Linked DNA regions of Caenorhabditis elegans. The protein of the gene in region 1 interacts with the protein of each later gene in a pairwise test. Each region holds a gene or a part of one and is shown in the gene's direction. Other genes may lie near its edges.

What was found.
Region 2: the proteins of pcyt-2.1 (region 1) and K12H6.7 interact in a two-hybrid assay, tested with the Caenorhabditis elegans proteins (one large-scale study listed by BioGRID).

The regions. Positions count from the first base shown.
Region 1 is NC_003279.8:2,077,296-2,085,139, forward strand, and holds the start of pcyt-2.1 (ethanolamine-phosphate cytidylyltransferase), read left to right. Parts: upstream 1-1,663; 5' UTR 1,664-1,672; coding exon 1,673-1,731; intron 1,732-1,968; coding exon 1,969-2,062; intron 2,063-3,448; coding exon 3,449-3,605; intron 3,606-3,817; coding exon 3,818-4,014; intron 4,015-4,660; coding exon 4,661-4,681; intron 4,682-4,738; coding exon 4,739-4,780; intron 4,781-5,518; coding exon 5,519-5,734; intron 5,735-7,043; coding exon 7,044-7,121; intron 7,122-7,183; coding exon 7,184-7,255; intron 7,256-7,510; exon of another isoform or gene 7,511-7,732; intron 7,733-7,741; exon of another isoform or gene 7,742-7,844.
Region 2 is NC_003280.10:2,834,246-2,838,913, reverse strand, and holds K12H6.7 (FBA_2 domain-containing protein), read left to right. Parts: upstream 1-1,960; 5' UTR 1,961-2,295; coding exon 2,296-2,396; intron 2,397-2,689; coding exon 2,690-3,304; intron 3,305-3,733; coding exon 3,734-3,863; 3' UTR 3,864-3,981; downstream 3,982-4,668.

The DNA.
Region 1 (7,844 bases):
AAAATAATTAAAACTTTCTATAAAATTACCAACTTTCAGATTTCGGAAGGATTTTATTAAAAAAATTGGCAACATTTTTGATTTTCAATGAAATTTTTTTAAGGTGGAGTGCGCCCAGTGGGAAAATTGCTTCACAATGGCCGAATATCATGATTAAAAAATTCAAAAAAAATTTCTAAATTTTATATGATTTTTTGAAAATTGAAAAATCTCAGTTTTCCCCTAATTTCTATTTGAATTACCGCCAATTGGGTTCGTTCGATGGAGCGCGCTTGCACTATTTATTTTATTTTTCTCATTATTTCACTGATTTTCTTCATTATTTGTGTATTTTTATCGGAAAAAGAGAGAAAAATGCAAGGTAAATGCTTATAAGATTTATTAAAAAGTAACTGAAAATGAGTAAAACTGTGGAATATGCTATTTTCAGGATTTTTGGCGTCGAAACACAGTTTTACCCATTTTCAGTAATTTTTTAATGACCAATTTGCATTTTTCTCTATTTTTCCGATTAAAAACCCCCAAAAAACGAATAAAATCAGTGAAATAATGAGAAAAATAAAATAAATAAATAAAAATAATGCAAGTGCGCTCCATCGAACAATTTCAATTGGCGGTAATTCAAATAGGAATTAGGCAAAAACTGAGATTTTTCAATTTTCAAAAAAAAATCATATAAAATCTAGAAAATTTTTTGAATTTTTTTATCGTGATATTCGGTCATTGTGACCCTATGGGCATGTTTTAAAGCAATTTCCCCACTAGGCTTACTGAGTAGAAAAATCCCGGAAGTGCAATTTTTGAATTTTTTGTGAGAAACTCCTCCACAATTCGTCATTGAAAATGAAAAAACTCGACTAAATATTTTTTCCATGACAGGCGGTCTGCTCCGGGTTCGACGTCCTTTTCGAACTGATAACGTCACAATTTTTTTCTTTTTTTTTCCGCATTTTTTCATTCCGATTGCTATTTAATCGGGTGATGTCGGGGTCACTCTTCAATGTCCGTTGACTACATTGTTTTAATTTATTTTTAATTGACTCCAAATTTTCCCCTGATTTCGAATATCTATGTGAAAAAATTCAAAAAAATTTCCCTGATTTTATATTTAAGCTTGAAATCGCTTGTACTAGCATCACTTTTTTTCAAATTCGCGCCCAAAGAAATTCGCATTGGAGCGCGCTTTGATTTTCTTCATTTAAATATTTTATTTATTTTTCGCCGAATGCAGTTTTTTGAAAACCAGTTTCATTCATTTTTGTCGAGCTTTTATCGATTTTTTTCGACAAAAATGAATAAAACTGGTTTAAACTGAATTCGGCGGAAAATAAATAAAATATTTAAATGAAGAAAATCAAAGCGCGCTCCAATGCGAATTTGTTTGGGCGCGAATTTTAAAAAAAGTGATGCGGGGGACAAATGAAATTCTACGATTTCAAGCTAAAATATAATATCAGGGAATTTTTTTTGAATTTTTTCACATAGATATTCGGAATTAGGGGAAAATTTGGAGTAATATAAAAAATATTTCACAGATTTCGGTACTCAACCTTTAAAATTTTAAGTGAGAAAATATTATTAACGTGATTTTAAATTTTTTTTTCTTCTGCAACAATTTGAACTTTGATCTTAAATTAAAAAAAAAAATTATTTTTAAAATTTCAGTTCAAAAATGAGCGGATTAGCACCAGATGGACTGCCCAAAGGAAATCGAGTTTGGGCTGATGGATGGTTGGTTTTTGGCTGGAATCGACACGTGGTGTCAAAGTGTCTCTTTTCGGTTTGATCTACAAAAAATGTGGGATTTTTTTTCCAAAAAAATGTGACGTCAGCACGTTCTTAACCAATTTTTGTTGAAAAGTCTGCGTCTCTTTTCCCGCATTTTTTGTAGATCTCTACGTAGATCACGCCGAAATGAGACACTTTGACACCATGTGAATTGAGCCTTAAAATGAATTAATTTTCCAGTTATGACATGGTGCATTTCGGCCATGCAAATCAATTACGGCAGGCTAAGCAGTTTGGACAGAAGTTAATTGTTGGAGTACATAATGATGAAGAGGTTTTCAATATTTTTTTCTCCCTAAAAAGAAGATGGGAATATGCAAATTTTTGTTAAAATATTAGCAGTTTTTAAGTCGTAACTCGTAAATTGCGAAATTTTTCCCTATAACACACTTGATCTACGCTGATCTACAAAAAATGCGGCAGAGTTCTTAACTCATTTCGTATGGTTAAGAACGTGCTGACGTCACATTTTAATGGGAGAAAAATTCCCGCATTTTTTGTAGATCAAACCGTAATGGGACAGGGACCCCTGGCACCACGTGGCTATAAATTATTTTAAAAATCAACTTCTGTGAATTATTTAAATTAATTTTCACTTTAAATTACGATAGTTCAGGTAAAAAATATTGTTTAAATAATTCAATTATTCAATTTTCCTTATTAAAAGCCACGAATTAAAAAGAAATTTCGTGACTTGACAAAAATTTTAAAGGAACACGCGTGTGTGACCCTTTAAGGAGTACTGTACTTTTAGCTATTTTGCAGTTTTTTTTCATTTTTTTCGAGATCGCGTCGAGACCCGAAATAGTTGGCATCTGGTAAATATTCTGATTGAATGGATATTTTCGTTATAATTTGGGGTTGCATGGAAAAAAAAAGAATATTTTACAATATTTTTCACTAAATATATCGTAAGTTAGGGTATATTGTGGTAATCATTAAAAATTTTTAAATTTCAGATCGAAATTTAGCAAAAAAAAAACATTTTTAGTGACTAAAAAAACATATTCGTTTCTAATTTCCAATTGAAATAGAAAAAAAAACGTTAAGTAATATTTTTTTTTATTGCAATTTTTTCCGACCTTTAAAGGTGGAGTACCGAAATCTGGGAAATATTTTTAATTGACCCCAAATTTTCCCCTAATTCCGAATATCGATGTGAAAAAAATTAAAATTCAAAAAAAATTCCCACGATTTTATATTTAAGCTTGAAATCGCCGAATTTCATTTGTTTTTCCCGAATCACTTTTTTCAAATGCGCGCCCAAAGAAATTCGCATTGGAGCGCGCTTTGATTTTCTTAATTTAAATAAATATTTTATTTATTTTTCGCCGAATTCAGTTTTTTAAAACCAGTTTCATTAATTTTTGTCGAAAAAACCGATAAAAACTCGACAAAAATGAATAAAACTGGTTTTTAATAAAACTGAATTCGGCGAAAAATAAATGAAATATTTAAATGAAGAAAATCAAAGCGCGCTCCAATGCGAAGTTCTTTGGGCGCGAATTTAAAAAGTGATTCGGGGGCACAAATGAAATTCGGCGATTTCAAGCTTAAATATAAAATCACGGAATTTTTTTTTTGAATTTTTGGAATTTTTTCACATCGATATTCGGAATCAGGGGAAAATTTGTAGTTTAACTCAAAAAAAAAATTCCAGATTCGACTACATAAAGGACCTCCAGTATTCAATGAACAAGAGCGATATCGAATGGTTGCCGGCATTAAATGGGTCGATGAAGTTGTGGAAAATGCGCCATACGCCACAACAGTCGAAACTCTGGACAAGTATGATTGTGATTTTTGTGTTCACGGAGGTAAAAATATTAATTAAAGTCCAATCACGGTTTGATCTACAAAAAAATCCGGGAATTTTTCGCCCAAAAGCAATGTGACGTCAGCACACGCTCTTAACCATGCGAAATCAGTTGAAAACTCTGCCGCATTTTTTGTAGATCAACCAGAAGATCAAGCCGAAATGAGACACTCTGACAGCACCACGTGTAAAAAAAGTAGATCAATTTTCCAGACGACATAACTCTAACCGCCGACGGAAAAGACACGTATCAAGAGGTGAAGGATCACCAACGATACAGAGAATGTAAGCGAACGTGTGGTGTCTCTACAACTGATTTAGTTGGCCGAATGCTTCTGCTCACCAAGAACCATCACACACAGGATGAGCACATCGAGCAACACGTCGAACGAGCTCGTTCGCTGAGCACGGTAAGTCGGAATTATTGGAAGACTTGTGCCACTGGCTGGGGGGAAATTGCTTTAAAACATGGTTTAAAAAATTCGAAAAAAAATTTTCTAAATTTATTGGATTTTTTGAAAATTGGAAAAATCTCAGTTTTCACATGATTTCTATTTATTTGAATTTCCGCCAAAATTATGTGTTCGATGGAGCGCGCTTGCATTGTTTTTACTAATATATTTCATTTTTTCTCAGTATTTCACTGATTTTCTTGTATTTTCATCGGAAAAAAAAGAGAAAAATGAAAGATGAATGCAAGTTGTTCATTAAAAAAAAGTTATTGAAAATGGGTTTTACCACAGTGTTTCCCATTTTCAATAATTTTTTAATAAACAATTTGCATTTATCTTTCATTTTTTTCTCACTTTTTCCGATAAAAATACAAGAAAATCAGTGAAATAATGAGAAAAAATGAAATAAATTAATAAAAATAATGCAAGTGCGCTCCATCGAACACATCATTTCGGCGGAAATTCAAATAGGAATTAGGGGGAAAACTGAGATTTTTTCAATTTTCAAATTTTTTTGAATTTTTTAAAATCATGTTTTAAAGCAATTTCCCAACTGGCGCTACTACGATTTTCAATTAATTTTTAAAAATTTTTAAAATTTTAGGCTATTCTGGAGTACAGCAAGGTAAGCGTAGCCGGCTGCTTGTCGTTTTTTCCAGTTTTGCAAAGCTTAATTTTTCAGCGTATGCAGTCTAAAAAACGGCGTCTGAATAGGCTTATAGCGGTAATGGACCAAATTTTGAATTTTAGTGGGCCGCACGGATTTCTGGCTTCCCTCATAAATTGAAATGGAAGAGTTTTTGCCGAACTAGGCCATGTGGATTTACGGCGCGTTGCGTGTCGCGTCGCGGTTCGATTTTAGTTGTAAAACTAAATGTATTTGTCCGTGTGGAGTACACCACTTTCCCAAGGCGATTGTCAATGGAGCGCGAAAAATTCAATGAGGAAGCCCGGAACCCTATGGGGCTTAAAATATTATTTTTTTTTCAGAACAAGCTTAGAATCTACTTTTTCTATTACGTGTTTATCCAGAGATGAGAAAAATGGCCATATCTGCCGCGCAAATGAATCTGCGGGAAGAGACAAAACTACTGTAGTTTTTAACCAATTTGTGTAGATTTACGAGCTATTGCGTCATCGTTGAATTTAATTTTGAGCCGCAATTTTTAATTTTCAGGCGTTTTTCTAAATTTTTTTGTGTGTTTTCTTTTAAGATTTTTCAATAAATAGATAAATTTCAATATAAAAACGTGTGAAACGCCTGAAAATTAAAAATTGCGGCTCAAAATTAAATTCAACGATGACGCAATAGCTCATAAATCTACACAAATTGGTTGAAAACTACAGTAGTTTTGTCTCTTCCCGCGGGTTCATTTGCGCGTCAGATATGGCGATTTTTCTCATCTCTGGATAAACACGTAATAAGTACAATTTAGTGTAAATTTTCTAAATTTCTTTTCAGGACAACGTTGCAATGTCCCCCTGGACACGTGTCTCGCGCTTCATCCCAACAACGACAACGATTCTCGAGTTTGCCGAAGGAAGACCGCCAAAACCGACGGACAAGGTTGTCTACGTGACCGGATCGTTTGATTTGTTCCATATTGGACATCTGGCGTTCCTGGAAAAAGCCAAAGAGTTTGGAGATTACCTGATTGTGGGAATTTTATCGGATCAGGTAGAGCGTTTTTGTTTAGAAAATTTCTGGGAAATAATTTTAATTGACTCCCCAATTTTCCCCTGATTCCGGAAAAAATTCAAAAAAAATCCCTGATTCAATCCCTTTAAGCTTGAAATTGCCGAATTTCATTTGTGCGCGCTAAAAAAATTCGCATTGGAGCGCGCTTGCATCGTTTGATTTTTTTTTTCGCCGAATTCAATTTTTTAAAACCAGTTTCATTCATTTTTGTCTAAATTTTATCTGTTTTTTTCGACAAAAATTAATGAAGCTGGTTTTAGAAAACTGAATTCGGCGAAAATAAATAAAAATTTAAATGAAGAAAATCAAACGATGCAAGCGTGCTCCAATGCGAATTTGTTCTTTTTTTGAAACAAAAAGTTTGATTTTAAAATTTAAATAAAAAAATGTGATCTACCCAAATTTTAAAAGTTTCTTTTTGTGATTTCCATGAGAAAAGGCGTTAAAAATATCAATTTTTCGTGAAAAGGGTTAATTGATGTGCCATCCTCTCAAAAACTTCACAAAAATTCAAATTCTTCAATTTTTTATTTTTTATCTCAGCCATCAAATTTGCGATGGAGCGCATTTGCAAGGTGCTTTTTTTTATTTAAAAATTTCTATGCCGAAAAATGAAGTTAAAATAGCGATTAACCCGTTTTCACCTCAAAAATGCATTTGTGATCTACCACACCTGGCGGTAATTTCGTAAATTTCTCTGTAAATTTCTTTTAAAAGTGGAGTAGCGAAATATGTGGAAATATTTTTAATTTACTCCAAATTTTCCCCTGATTCCGGAAAAAATTCGAAAAAAATTTCCCTGATTTTATATTTAAGCTTGAAATCGGCGAATTTCATTTGTGCCCCCGCATCACTTTTTTGAAATTCGCGCCCAAAAAATTCGCATTGGAGCGCACTTGCATCGTTTGATTTTCGCCGAATTCAATTTTTTAAACCTGCTTCAATAATTTTTGTCGAAAAAACCGATAAAAAATCGACAAAAATTAATGAAACTGGTTAAAAAACTTGAATTCGGCGAAAATAAATGAAGAAAATGAAAAAAAAAAACGGTACAAGCGCGCTCCAATGCGAGTTTCTTTGGGCGCGCATTCAAAAAAGTGATGCGGGGGCACAAATGAAATTTGGCGATTTCAAGCTTAAATATAAAATCAGGGGAAATTTTTTTGATTAGATATTCGGAATCAGGGGAAAATTTGGAGTCGATTAAAAATATTTCCCAACTTTCGGCATTTTTACATTAAAAAAATGAGAAATCTACCACAATCGAATAAAACTATCAATTTCACAGACTGTCAATCAATACAAGGGAAGCAATCACCCCATAATGTCGATTCACGAGCGTGTACTATCCGTTCTGGCCTATAAGGTTTGTAGTTTGAACTTTTCGAAATAAATTGAAAAAATTGAAAATTAAAAAATTTTTTTCAGCCAGTGAATGAAGTTGTGTTCGGTGCTCCATATGAGATTACTTCTGACATTTTGGATCAGTTTAATGTTCAGGTAAATGCTGTAAATGTTCGAGAAATTTGAATTTGAATTTAAATAAACAAAAAATTCAAATTCAAATTCATGTTTTAATAAATAAATTAATTCTCCATACATGATAATCCAATTTTTTCATCCAAAATTAATGTAGAAATGAAGAAAAAAGCTTGTTCTATCTGAAAATTATATTTATTTCTGTTGAAAAGCTTGAAACAGGCCTTTGAGGCGTTTTTGAAGCATTTCCACAGAAATAAATAGTATTTTCAGATAGAACAAGCCTTTTTCTACTTGCCTACATTAATTTTGGATGAAAAATTGGATTATCATGTAGGAAATAAGACGTTTTGTGCGTTTACAGTCCGTGTTGAAAAGTTATCAAACGCGCGCGCGCGAGAGAGTGTGCGAAACGAGGAGAGTCGCACGCAATAGATAGAGGCACGCGAAACCCGCGAGGTGTCGGCCGGCGCGTAAAAGTACCCAACAGTGCCGACCAGCGCTCCTCAAGCCTCCTGGCGCTGCTATTAGCCGGGATTCATAGGCTGGCGATGATTGAGATTGTTCCCACACGCAATTTCTCCTGATCCACATGAAGGCTAAACTTCCT
Region 2 (4,668 bases), on another chromosome or scaffold:
AAAGATATGTGCGTAAACATTTTGGAATTCTCAGAAATCTCATGATGAAATTTGGCCGTTTCAATCTGTGCTCTTTGAGTAGCTTCAAGCCATAACCTCAGTTTTTTTTCTTCAACTTGAGATTATTTATACATTTTTGAACTGAATATAGTGAAAAAATTAACAAACCACCATCTGCTCGCGAATTCTGGCGTTTTTTCTTGCTTCAATAATTTCGGCAATTACTACAGCAAAAAAAATTCCAAAAGCATCCGAAGGAGAGAGGAGACCACCATCCGCGACCATTGATTGGCTAGAGTCAGTCGAATCGGCCATCTAAAAGAAATAAGTTTGGAAATGGAATAAATTTGAGAGAAATAGTTCATACCGATGCCACAGCTGATGGTGATGCTGCCTGGCTTTGCTGATCCGTCTGAGGAGAGGGAATACCTGCATTGGCGACCATTGATTGGCTAGAGTCAGTCGAATCGGCCACCTAAAAGAAATAAGTTTGGAAAAATAAGTACTTTCACTCAATAATTTGATCATTCAAATGATTGCCCATCTTGGCAATCCTTCTTAAAATGACAGTTATAAATAAAATAGTTTAAAAAAAAAATAGAAACAAACAAAAGTCACCCAGTTAAACCATAAAAAGACATTTTGCTCGTTTTTTTCCACCGGTGGTTAAGAGAGAAACTAAATTAGGCGCCGATTATTTCATAATGATAGTAGATCAAATATTATCAATGTAGGTCTAGTTGAGAATTGTGCGAGAAAACGTTGAAAACACTGAAATCTATGATTGTATGATGTTCCCTGGCCATCTCGAATTTCTAATTGTTTTCAAATCAATGATCTTCCTGTATCATGAACATTTTTTCAAAGCATATTTCGCAGGATATTATTGAGAGAAGATGTATGTATCATTATTCATTATTCGAAAATTATGTCGGTGTTCACGAATTCCACTTTTCACATCATTATCAGGTAGACTTTTTCACTTTTCACTTGAATTTTAGTCAACTACAAGTTTTGACTATTTATTTCAACTCACCTTTAGACTATTAAAGGTGGAGTAGCGGCAGTGGTTAAAAACCACTCCTCTGGTCCCAAAATATTCAAATATCGTGATAAAACGTTTGAAAATTATATTTGAAATTTAATTTAAATTATTTATATTAAAACATTGTAAGGGTCGAAACATGCGAAATTTTTTTAAATTTCCTCAAAAGCTCGTATTTCTCAAAATTTTGGCAGTCTGCCGAAACTTTGACCGGAAATTAAGAAAAATTTGTTTTTTGTAGTGTTTTATTATGATATTCGGTTGTTTTGGATCATTATAAGTGCATTTAGACAAAATCCCCACTGGCGCTACTCCACCTTTAAAAAGAAACAAATGCCATTTGGAAGATTGCAAATTGTAAAAATGCTTGCAAACAATTTAGCGGCACAGGAACCCTTTGAATTAGAAAACTACCTTCTTTGTTTAAATTTTTGCCCCTCTTGCAGTCAGATACTGTTTCCTCGTGTTCATAGATCGAATCTGAAAAACTCGGTACTTAGTGTCGATTCGGCACTTCGGCACTTTGCAAACACATTTTGCTGAAAAACTGGATTTTTTGTACGAAAACGCGGTTTAACGCTTGCTCGAATACACTGAAATGTGACCATTTAGCAGATTGAAAACAAAACTGTTCTAAAAATGTTCGAAAATGTTTTACCGAAGTTTAGAAAAATAAGAGCTGAGTTTACCTAATAACGCAGCACCGTTGTTACACTTTTATGAGAGCGTGAGCAATTGAATTTTATATATTGAAACTCATTGTAACACTTTTTGCACAACCCTATTTTTTGGTAATTATTGATTGAGATGAGCTCATTTGCTGTTGTCTCGTGGGATGACCTCTTCAGTGCAATATCTTGTCTTCCCCATTACACAGTACTACCACCGTCTATTCTTCATTTGTCTCTTACGTTCTTTCGGATCGATTCATCCAATTTTTCTCCCACTGGAATAAAATTATATGCATTATTTGATCCTAGTGGCACCTTCATTTGTTCCCCTTTAATTTTATTTTCAGAAATTTTTTGGTGATGCCATTTCATTTTCCACTTTTCCCACATCTTGTCCAAAAACAAATCTGCCAGGAGTTTTGCGATCTTGACGCTCTAATATTCATGTTTGCTTCTGAAAAGTCAAAAATCATAGCTACAAAATCCAAAAATGATGCCTTATCCATCTTGCAAATATGCTTCAGAACTTCCGAAGATCATGATCACTGGTTTGAATTGACAAATCACAATTCCAATTTTATGGGACGAATTTATTTGAAGAAGGCCAAATCTGAGGAAGATTTGCTGAAGCGTGGGCGTCCTTTCACAGTGGAAGTGGATGAGTTGAAGATTCCGTTTTGGTGGGTTTTCTTTCTTTTAAAACAATTGTAAAAGTCGTATACTTACATATAACAGCCGGCAGAAGCGTTTGGCTTAGGCTTAGGCTTAGGCTTATGTTTATGTGTGGGCTTGGCGTCAGTGGTAAGCGTCAGCTCGCTACTGACGCTATTTAGGCTTAGGATTTTCCGGTTTTTTTGATTTTTGAGGGGGTTCCAGTCGGCTGATCAACGCGAATTTTTCTCGTATTCCGTTTTGGTGAGTTTTTAATTTTAAAAGCATTGCAAGACGTTGTAACTTCCAGAACTTTTTTCAGTGTTTCACCAGTCACCAATACATTTGACAACAAGAAAAAAGTTTTCCTTACCTTTCTCGGACCAGTGAAACAATTTCACGAAGCAATTCATCTTTGCATAACTTCCTTATATCGACCCACACCATACAACAAGTATGAACTCACTACAAATGTGGACGATCTCACTTGTACTCCTGACATTAAGAATATGAAAGAGAGCTATTTAGCGACTATAAAATCTGAAAGCCTCAATGCAAGCACCATTGACAACTTTTTATCTAAAAAAACAAGCATTGAAAAGCTTACATTAGGAATGAAAGTTCTCGATAATTTTCAAGAGGATTCAGCTATATTTCGAATGAAATACTTTTGGTTCACTTATTCCCTAGAGCATGCTCCAATTGTGCTCTCCAAGTTTCAAGGAACTCATTTATGGATGACCGATGCCAATATAAAAAATGAAGATATCATTTCATTTTTGAACACTTGGCAAAACTCGGAGTGCGATCGGAAAATATTTGAAATAAAGGTTTCTGAGGGGATGAATCCTTTGAATCCGGATATTGTGTATGAAGATATTGACGTCAGCGATTGGGATCCTGCAGAGAGACCGAAAGAGTTTAATTTTGTGTCGACGTGAGTTTCAGCCTTATTGCTTCAAAATCCTTTCAGGTTGATGCATCATGTCCTCACTTAACTTGGCAAGCTAATATCTGTGTTTATGTTTAAGTTGTCACTAAGTTGCCAACTACAAAATTGTTAAGAATTAAACGACCAATATTTGGTTAGTTGAACATTTTCTGATAGAGCTGAAGTCAGCTGAGATACGTGCTCACGGAGTTGAGCAAGACATGGTGCATCGACCTAGATTCTCTCACTTGCAGCTAGCTCCGGCAGTTTTTATGAGCGGCTGGGGCTGAGTTTTGAGCAAGACAAGGTGCATCAATTTATTTTTTTTTTTAAAGATATTTATGAATTTTAATTACTGATTTATTGCCAAATTTTTTGACAATCCCAAAGCCTGCCAAAATGCAAGTTGTCAAAGTTTAAGTTTTTTTATTTCAGATTTTTCCCAGAAAACTTCAACAAAGTCTATGATTGTTCCACGTGGATGGATATTAAAAGATCTGGCGACGGAAAAATAGCATCAATCTGTATCACTTCTAATGCATTCAAATTTCTTGTCTGGGATTGAATTTGTTTTCAGAATTTTCTCATTGCTTTCTGGAACCCTTAATTTTTATTTTGTACATGTAATGAAAAATAATTGAGTTTATATAAGAATGAAGCCTGTAAATTAAATTTTTCATTTTTTGAGCAAAAAGTGTTGTAAATTTCACGCTTATATAAATACGAGTAGGCATAAGGCAGGCAAGCAGGCAGATCTAGGAAACCTAAAAGGCAATAAGGCAAGTCTTGGCAGCCTAGTAGGTAGGCAGACCTCAGCAGGCAGGCACATTCAGCCTAGAAGGCAAGTATGAATGCCTAGGCAAACTAGTAGGTAGACACCTCTGGAGCGCCTAGAAGACAGACTGGATAACCTGAGAAGCCTAAAAAGCAAGAATGCAAACTTAGGTAGCTTAATAGGCAGGCAAGGCAGGCATAGACAGTCAAGTAGGCAGGCAGCCATCTTCGTACCTACGCAAGTTTCTTGATTTTTTCTATACATTTTCCAGCACTTGTTTGCTATTTACAAGCTCCATATTTCCCAGCAGCTGAAGCTGACTGAACTGAAAATAATTACTCGAGGAAAAATTTAATTTCAGAGTGGGGGAAAAGCTCGAAAAAAAAACAGAAGAAGTTGTCAACAAACCTCCTTTTCCATTTTATTCCCCCCGTCATACACACTTTTGGTAAACATGAGACAGCAGAAAAATAAATTTTTTCCGTTTTTTTCTTTTCCACCTCCCTCTCTATCTCTCGAATTTTTCTCCCAACATGCCAAATTTTCCCCGTTCTTCGCAGTTGGCTGACTAGCCATGTTACTTTGATGTTTATTT